Linked DNA regions of Caenorhabditis elegans. The protein of the gene in region 1 purifies or fractionates together with the protein of each later gene. This does not show direct contact. Each region holds a gene or a part of one and is shown in the gene's direction. Other genes may lie near its edges. The genes, in order: popl-5 and lsm-8.

Region 1 (4,184 bases):
CAAATTTCCGCGAATCAGATACGATGAAGCCGTGCATCTTTTAGCTTTAAAAGGCTCAAAAGTGACGGCAAAAAGTGGATTTTCGAAGAAAAACGAGCTGGATTTGGTGAAGCTTCACGACGATCATCCGATCTTTGTCACCCACTACCCAGTGGGCCAAAAGCCATTTTATATGGCTCGAGACGGACAGCTAACCCTATCATTTGATCTACTTGTGCCAGGAATCGGAGAACTCGCTGGAGGATCGCTACGTGAGCAATCGGCAGAAGAGCTTCAGCGTCGAGGATGTGGAATTGATTGGTATTTGGAGATGCGGAGGCGAGGACAGCCGCCTACCGGAGGATTTGGAATTGGATTCGAGAGAATGCTACAGTACTTGTTGGGTGTACAGAATATCAAGGATACGGTGGCTTTTCCGCGGTGGCATCGGCATTGTCAGTGCTGAAATTTTGGGATTTTTAGGATTATAGTTTTAATAAAAATTTTTTTTTTTTGCAATTTTTTTTCCTTTTTTTCCCTTAAAAATTCACTGTTTTACACAGTTTTAATATTTCTTTTTTCAGAATTTTTTTTAGAAAATCCTTAAATTTGCAAATTGGAAAAAAAACATTTTGCTCTAAAAAATCAATTTTTGTGGAAATTTCATTTTTTCACAAATTTCTCAAGTTTTGGATTTTTTTTTTCCAATTTTCAAAATCATCGGAGATTTTCGATTTTTAGGGTTTTATAATTTTTTTTAATACATAAAAATGTAAAAAATTTGGAGAAATATGTGGTTTTTTTTTCAATTTTCTACACAAATCTGGAAATTTTTGCAAACATTTATTTTGTTTTTCTGATTTTTTTTTTAGTTTTTCATGAATTTCTCAATTTTAAAATGTTCTTACACTAGTTTTCCGAATTTTTAGAAATTTGAGAAGTAAGAAAATTATTTTTTAAAGAAATTGTGTTTTTTTTCAATTTTCTTTAAAATTTGAAATTTTGATTGACTGATTTTCTGCATTTTTTCCCTACTTTTTTGGACAAATTTCGGATTTTTTCTTGAATTCTCAATTTTTTAGAACATTTTTTTCATATTTTTCTCATCAAAATCAACTTTTTTTTTCAATTTTCAAAAAAAAAAGAATTTTGGACAAATTTCGAATTTTTCATATTACGGCAGCAAAAAATTCTGAGAATGCGTATTGAGCAATCAATTTGACGCGCAAAATATCTCGTAGCGAAAACTACTGTGATCCTTTGAAATACTACTGTAGCGGCTGTGTCGATTTACGGGATCGAGCGCTACAGTAGTCTTATTTAAAGGATTACTGTAGTTTTCGCTGCGAGATATTTTGTGCGCGTCAAATATGTTGTGCAATACGCATTCTCAGAATTTTGTGATTCTGTAATAAATTGCTCATTTTTTAAAAATTCATAATTTCACATCAAATTCAAATTTTTTTTTCTAGATTTTTTTGATTTTCGACTTTTGAGGAATTTTTCAATTTTTTCTCCTTTTTCAGCATTCTCATCCAAAAAAAAAATGGTAAAAATCAAAAATCGCTACTACGTGATTCGAATGCTCACAAATGATGGCTCACCACCGACACCAAGAAAATCGTCGATTTTTCAAGAACTCATGAAACTCACGTCGGAAATGTTTGGAGATTTTGGATATTCTATTTTGAAAATGAGCCTTTCGGTACGGCTTTTTTAAAAAATTTAACATTTTGTGGTAAAAATGAAAAAAAAATTAGGAAAAAATTGAGAAACTACGGAAATTTTGAAAAAAAAATTTTTTTTTTTCAAAATTTTAATTTTCAGAATTTTTTTTTTGTTTTTTTTTAATCAAATACTAGAAGCAAAATTAGCATTACAATGTTCAAAAAATTAAAAAAAAAAAGTTTTAAATAAAAATTTTTCCAGGTTCGAGTTCTCGACGAAGACGTGATCGTACTCCGAGTGGCCGAAGGCGGAAATAAATATTTTGGAGCAATTCTTCCATGTGTTCATAAAATTGATAAGCAGCCAATGGTCTTGCAGACTATTTTCATTGGTAGAATTATTTAAATTTTTGAAAAAAATCCGAAAAATTGATTTTTTTTTTTTGAAAAATCCAAAAAAATCCGAAAAATTCTGGATTTTATTGAACAGATCCGAAAATTTTTCTGGAAATTATTTCAAAATCTGAAATTTGTTAGGAACAGGCCGAAAAATTCTCGAAATTTTCCAAAAACTCCCAAAAATTCTGATTTTTTTCAAAAACTCCGAGAAATTCTGGAAATTTTTGAAAAAATTCCAATTTTTTCAAAAAAATCCGAAAAAAAATTGTAATTTTAAAAAAAGCTCAAAAAATTCTGGATTTTTAATTGAAAAAATCGGAAAAATTGGATTTTTTTTTGAAAGATCAGAAAAATCAGGAAATTTAAAAAAAAATCCCAAAAATTCAGGCATTTTTTAAAAATATTCCAGAAATTCTGGAATTTTTTGAAGAAAATCCAAGAAAAAAAATACCAAAAATTCTGCACAATTTGAAAAAAATCTGAAAATTTCTAAAAAAGTCCGAAAAATTTTGGAAATTAACAAAAAATTACAAAAGTTGTGGAAATTTTCTAAAAATCTGAACAATTCTGATTTTTTTTCTCAAAAAATCCAAAATCCAAAAAAATCCAAAATTAAAAAAAAAATCCCAAAAATTCTAAATTTTGTTTGAAAAAATCGGGAATTTTTGTAAGAAAATCCAACAAAAAATGAAAAATTGAAAAATTTTGGAAATTAAAAAAAAAATCACAAAAGTTCTGGAAAGTTTCCAAAACAAATTGAACAATTCTGGATTTTTTTTTCTCAAAAAAACCGGTCAAAATTTTTTTTCTTTTCTTGAAATTAGAAAAAAAATCCGGAAATTTAAAAAAATCCGAAAAATTCTGCAATTTTTCAAAGAAAAATCAAAATCAAATCATTCATATTTTTTTTTGAATTCTGGAAAGTCAAAAAATCGATAAAATATCGCCGCAAATTCTCCAAAAATTTCATTTTAAAAAAATGTATAAATTTACAGGCAGAAGCATGAGATCTTGCGAGAAACGACTCATCAAAAGCCGCCGAGACGAGCTTCACGATGCTCTCGGAAAATGCACAAAAACTGGTAATTTCAGCTCAAAATCTTGCTGCAAAAATATCTGAAATTGTCGACTGTTTCCAGAAACTCGAACCCAACTTCTGGAAGCAATCCATCAAATTTGCGGTCAACCGGCTCGAATTTTCAGCGACGAGCAGCGCAAGGATCAGGCAACTACTAGCTGAAAATCGTCTGGAAATTTTAATTTTGTTATGTATAATGCTGCTAACTTTTTTCTGCAATTTTTAATTTTTTTTAAATAAAAATTTTTTTTTTCAAAAATGTTGGAAATTTTGGAATTCAAAAAAAATTGAAAAAAACGTTTTTTCTTCAGAAATTCGATTCTTTTAGTTTCAGAAAAATTCAATTATGTTTTAATAAAATTTCCTTTTCAAAAAATCGTAAAAAATTCAAAATTTAGCTACAGTAACCACACAAAAAACTTTTTTTAAAGAATTTCGGATTTTTAATAATGTAGGCGTGTAGGCATGTAAATAGGCATGTAGGTGCATTGGAAGGCATGATGCAGGCGGGTAGGCATGTAGGCGCACTGGAAGTTATAAGGTAGGCAGTTTGTAACATGTAGGCATGATATAGGCACGTATTTGCGTAGGTAGGCGAAGGTACTCATTTTGTGGGCACGCTGGCATGTAGGTAGGCATGTAGGCGCATTGGAGGGCATGATGTAGGCGAGTAGGTGCAAATGTAGGCCTAAAGTAGACATGAAAAAGCCTAGGTAAGCTTGTAGGCGCATTGTAAGGCATGAGGCACGCATGCAGGCAGAAGGCGTGCTGTAGGCATGATATAGGCATGTAGATATGGGCATGCAAAAATTTTTTAGGGGGAAACATAATTTCAATCGATTTTTGTTCTCCAGAAAAATTTAAATTTTTTTAGATACAGCTACAGTAACCCCAAACATTTTGAATTTCTGAAAAACTCATCTTTCCACAAATATTAGAATTTTCGAGAAAAAATTTATTTTTTTTCAGTAGCCATGTAGGCGCATTGGAAGGCGGAAGGCGGAAGGAAGGTATAAGGAAGGCAGTATGGAACATTCGTATGTGCTTAGTTAGGCGGTGGT
Region 2 (5,526 bases), on another chromosome or scaffold:
AGCTCCCACTTCACCCAATATGGAGAAGTTGCTCAAGCTCAAGTCAAGTACGACCGGACTAACGGCCGCTCCAGAGGGTTCGCATTTGTCGAGTTCACCACTGGAGAGGGCTGTAAATTGGCCCTTGCTGCTCGCGAACAAACCATCAAGGGAAAATCTGTGAGTTCTTGTTTTTTTTCCTCGCCTACTTAAATGGCACTAAAAAGATATAAGTTCAATTGACAATAAACATATTTCTTGTTATAGGTCGAGGTAAAGCCAGCAAAATCGAGGGAAAACAAGAAGGTGTTTGTTGGAGGACTCCCATCGGACTACAGCGAGCAAGATCTTCGCTCTCATTTCGAACAATTCGGCAAGGTCGACGACATTGAATGGCCATTCGATAAGCAGACCAAGGCTCGTCGCAACTTCGCTTTTATCGTATTCGAGGAGGAGGAGTCCGCAGACAAAGCATCTTCCCAGACAAAACAGACCTTCGGAACTCGCGAATGTGACGTGAAAAAAGCAGTTCCACAAGGAAAACGGTTCCCAGGCGCCCAAGGGCGTATGCCAGGTGGTCGCGGAATGTATGGTGGACGTGGTGGAAATAACAACTCGGGATGGTATGCTGGATGGGGACAAATTGGAGCTATGCCATACGGAGCTACTGGAGCAGCTTGGGGAGACTGGTACGGAAACGGTTATTACGGCCAACAAGGTGCAGCACATCACAACAACAGCGGATCATCGCAAGGTTACGGAAGCGGATACCAGAGTTAGTTTTGTTACTATTTGATTCCATGTCTTGTGACTCATTCCACAAGGAATGCATCAGTATACTTATTCTATCAGGTTTTGCAGGAAATAACAGTGGATTCGATTACCAACAAGCTCAAGGAGCCAGACAGGGCAACAATGGCCAACCACGCTTCCAACAGCAGCCACAACAACAAACTGCTCAAGCCCAACAGTTCTAAATGTGCCTTCAGAACATCACCTCAATCACCATCTGAAATGCCTCCATCACAGTCCTCTTCAGAATTCCTGTTTCCTTCCTACCTAATCTTTCAAAAAATGTCCAAATTGTTTTGTCCTCACGCCCAGACTCAATCAAAAGCAGTTACAAATCGACCCTAAATTTCTAACGCGCGTTTTTCTTTAATTCCTTTTTTGGCAATGACGATCTGAGATGTGTTGTTCCCGAGGTTGAATTTTATATCGAACCAGTTTGTTTTGTTTCTCTGATTCTCACCCAAACTATCATCGACTCTCAACTTTTTTCCGTTGGTAATCTTTGATTTGAATAACTCCAGGAATAATAATAACATACTTTTGTTGTTTTAGATGATGTTCTTGTGAACATAATACTTTATCCACCCGCCTTTTTAGATGTGTAGAAGTACTTTATTTCCATCAGTTTTTTCAGTCATTTTTTGTTGTTTTAATTGTTTCGCTCGTTTTTTCTTTGAGCGATTCTGCGGCAGAAAACAAACTGTATTTTTACTTCTCTTCCCTAAAGTCTGTATGCTTCGCCCCCAATTTTTGTCTTTTAGTTGTTGTTATGGTGCTTTTTCCTTTGTTCAGGAACTGGTAACCAATTAGACTGTGCAATTCACTGTAGTTGTCAAGTATATTCACATTGAATTGTGCAGTTAGTTGTTAATTTCCCTCATCTCATTGAAGTGTATCTGATGAATCGTCAGGTGTCCCGTCTTCGTCTAATCTCACAACACCCAGCCACCCAACAAAAGCTTCTCCCTTTTTCTCCTTCGTTTTTTGCCAATCTCACCCGTAAATTCGCTCCCAAAAGCCCCCCCCCAACCGATTCTAATAACTGCCTCTTCGTTTGACATGTTATTTGTTGTCACATTCGTTTTTAATGTATGATAGATTCATGTCAAACATTTGTGTTGATATTAAGCTGAGAATGAAATTTTTGAGGACTAGTTGTTCTTATATTATCATTAAATTTTTATGCTTCATGAATTGAATGCGAACAGGTGGGTTGCCGTGAAAAATATCTCACTTGGGAACAATAAACTTCAATATTTAGAAGTCAATTTTCAGATAAAATATGACTTCAACTCTAGATGCGTACATGAATCGGATGGTGAACGTGGTCACTGGTGATGGTCGGGTTATCGTTGGACTTCTGAAGGTAAAATATCTAGAAAGAAATGTTGCTTCTGCACTTGGCGACAAAGGTTCGAGCCTTTGTCAAGAAATTTCAAAAATGCAGCACATCTTGATTATTATAAAACACGAGATTTTGAATCCCAACTTTGAAGAAATTGTTCAAAAAGACTGAGCTTATGTGTCGGATTAAATAATTAAATTATGTTACCTTTTAAAATTTCAATATTTTATTCAATTATACAATTTTAGGGATTCGATCAATTAATCAACTTGGTGATTGAAGATGCTCACGAAAGGTCGTATTCTGAGACGGAAGGTGTGCTCACGACACCATTGGGACTATATATTATTCGAGGAGAGAATGTGTAAGTTGAAAATTGACGGGACATAATTTAAAAATCGATTTTACCTTGTCACGGTGCTCTGCTTTTGGAATTTATAGGTTTTCTGCGACTAAAATTAGTTGTTGATGAAGAGTTTAGAAATGTCTCTTCTTGAATATCTACTTCATTTATTCCGATGAATTTTACTTCCGAGTTCCCGTACCACCCAATCCGTGGGTCAAACGATCAACAAACCCTCGAAAACATTGGACTCGGCATGCTTTTCCTTCCATTCCGTGCACATTATCGAAAAACTGACCAATTGTTTCAATTGAGTAGTGGCGGAGCCGCCTGCTTCAGCAAAGAAGCTCTTGATCATGTACGAGAGTGTTAAAAACCAAGACAGTTTTTATTGCTCAAAATCCATGGTCTTCTCTTGTTGAGAGGAGATGTTGGACTTTTAATAAAAGACCGGGTACAAATGTTGAACATTTGGAGCATTTTATCTGGATTTTTTTTTCACATCGCCCCATTAAACCTTATAAAAAGCTTCACATCGCCTTGCTTGTTGCAAATTCGCTCTATCGCCATTCTTCAATCTTTTCGAATCTAAAAACTCGTTGGTCATTATGTACTCTCTATTTCACCCGGTCTCTCTCTTCTGTTCTTTCTTTTGGAGTGCTCTACGGACCAATTGCTTCAAATGAATTATCGATTTTTTAAATTGTCGCGTTAGAATAGTTTCTCTGTGTTAAAACAGATCGACCTAATTTCAATTATCATCAAGAGTTTTTTTTTCTATTCGATTCAATCTTTTCCGATGACATTAATCATCCGTTTTTTATAATGTTGCACCCATGCGATGATAAGATTTAATTGTGGTCGTTGACTATCAGTGCTGAGAATGGAATTTTCTCGTTCAATTCACTTCAAAACGGGTCAATGTTATCATCTCAGAAACATCAAATTGATTTTACTTCATTTCTTCCAGTTGAATATTTTCTATAACGTTCCGTCGACATACCTTCGCCAGTCAACATTGAGTCATCATTTAAAAAAAAAAGAAAGGTGCAAGTAGTCCTGGTACCTGATGTTCTATAACAACCAGATCAAGTGCTTCTGTTGTTCCTTTGATCATTCAGCTTTCGGCAGCCGTCTAAAAACATAGCAACTGGTCGTTTCTTGTGCTCTGTTACGGTCGGAAACACGGAAAAGTCGGGGAAGCATGACGTGTCAAAACATCTCTTCCAATCGTTCGGCATTTTCTCGCCCTCAATCACAATTTGATGCTTGACCAATATGATTGCCCGAAGCCTTGCAGCAGCACCAGCAATTTATTTTGTTTGTACTCTTCACATTTTCGCCGGCAACAAAAAAAAACAACGAAAGAGGGAAATAGTTATAGTGAACGAGAGAACGAATACGAAAATGGACAACGCGATGGGAAAAATGTTGAAAAAGTATCCGTTTTCCTATTCTATGTCGGAGCTTCACAACTTGCTTACTAGGTTTTCAGTTTTCAGTTTTACTTTGTCGTTTCTATCTGAAAAGCGCTTATAGTTAAAACATATTCAGTTAAGTTCCAAACGAACTAAAACTTTAAAAAAAAAACTCCTCGTTGAGCGAATGCGATTGATTATTTTATTGAAGTCTCTAAATTGGCTCTTCCAGTCTCTGTTCAATACCTAATTGTTTTCTGATTAGTTTCATTATATTTATTGATTTTTCGTTTCCGATACACCACTCTTCTCTATACTCCACTCCAAATGTCAAGTGATAAATACTCATATTTCGAAATAGTTTATTTTTGGATAGGATACCCCTTCTGGCCCTATTCATGTCCCATTCAAAACACAATTTTATGAAATCTTTTCTCACTTTTCGTCAGTGTAATATAGCTGGAAAAGATTAATGTAGACATGCGTCAAATGTCCGAAACTTTCACAATTTCACACCTTTCAATTCATTCCGTTCGAACTTTGTTCAAAGAAAATGTGATTCCATGAAAAAAGTGTTCGGAACCTGTTCTGTTTCCCTCTGGAGAGGGGTGGAGAAATTATCGGAACACTTTTTCATTGCAAAAGTTGAAACTAAACTTTTAAAGCTATGATGTATATATATATAAAGACCAATTCTGCAACTACTGTAGATTTTTCCAAATGTTTCTTTTTGAAAATCTATCATTTTTCAGAGCGATTATCGGTGAAATCGATGAAGAACTCGACAAACGCGTTGATCTGGAAAATGTGAAAGCGGCCCCACTTGCACCAATTTGGATTCCCCAATAATTTCCACACAAATCGATATTCTGCATTGACGCGTTGTATTGACTGGTTATTCTCATCGTTTCCCCCCACCATTTCTTCTCCCCATTTAAATCATTTTTCCCAAACTATTCTCCATTCTTTTCTTGTTTCCTTGACGGTTTTGTATTCATACCATCGTTTCTTTACCATTTTTGGATCTCTAATTTCCTCTCAAATATTGTGAAAATTTATACATATTTATTTGCTTTGTTTTTAATAGTTAATGTATTAAATATGCATTTATTCAAATTGCAACGTCATTGTATTTTTTCGTGTTTCAACCGTTTGTTTATCGGTTTAACATTTCTTTTTTTAATATCGTTTCCTCGTTGAACTTTGCCATTTCACAGAAATAACCTTGCAGAAAATATTCCAGTGCTCGATTTCAACGGAATATACGGATCGAAGTTGCAAAATGAGCAGTATCAGAGTGAGTTAAATAGAATGGGGAAAGGATAATTTTGAACAAGAGTTTTTGCGCGTTTTTCAACTTTCCTACCAGAATAAAAGCATAAAGTAAAAATCGATAAACATTTTTTCCAGAACCAGAACGACAATCGTCGACCAACATTCCGTGATCATCGTACACCACAATTTAGCGGTCGTGGTGGTAGTGGTGGTGGCGGACGCCGTCTTCAAAATCCAGCTCATTATCCACAACGCAGAGATATGTCGCCGATTCGCAGATCTTCAGCAATTTCACCAGTCAGACGTTCACAGGATCATCGCCAACGTTCGCCTGAAGTTCGACGTCATCGATCACCGGAAAAGGAGTCAAAAGA

What was found.
Region 2: the proteins of popl-5 (region 1) and lsm-8 fractionate together in Caenorhabditis elegans (co-fractionation; one large-scale study listed by BioGRID). This does not show direct contact.

Annotation. Positions count from the first base shown.
Region 1 is NC_003281.10:11,484,667-11,488,850, reverse strand, and holds popl-5 (Ribonuclease P/MRP protein subunit POP5), read left to right. Parts: upstream 1-1,505; 5' UTR 1,506-1,525; coding exon 1,526-1,684; intron 1,685-1,908; coding exon 1,909-2,038; intron 2,039-3,040; coding exon 3,041-3,127; intron 3,128-3,184; coding exon 3,185-3,285; 3' UTR 3,286-3,372; downstream 3,373-4,184. Other genes in the region: nars-2 (Aminoacyl-transfer RNA synthetases class-II family profile domain-containing protein), read left to right, coding at 1-445.
Region 2 is NC_003282.8:6,324,480-6,330,005, forward strand, and holds lsm-8 (U6 snRNA-associated Sm-like protein LSm8), read left to right. Parts: upstream 1-2,046; 5' UTR 2,047-2,053; coding exon 2,054-2,137; intron 2,138-2,364; coding exon 2,365-2,480; intron 2,481-4,629; coding exon 4,630-4,726; 3' UTR 4,727-5,000; downstream 5,001-5,526. Other genes in the region: sqd-1 (RRM domain-containing protein), read left to right, coding at 1-159, 247-754, 832-956; Protein seu-1, read left to right, coding at 5,160-5,174, 5,288-5,526.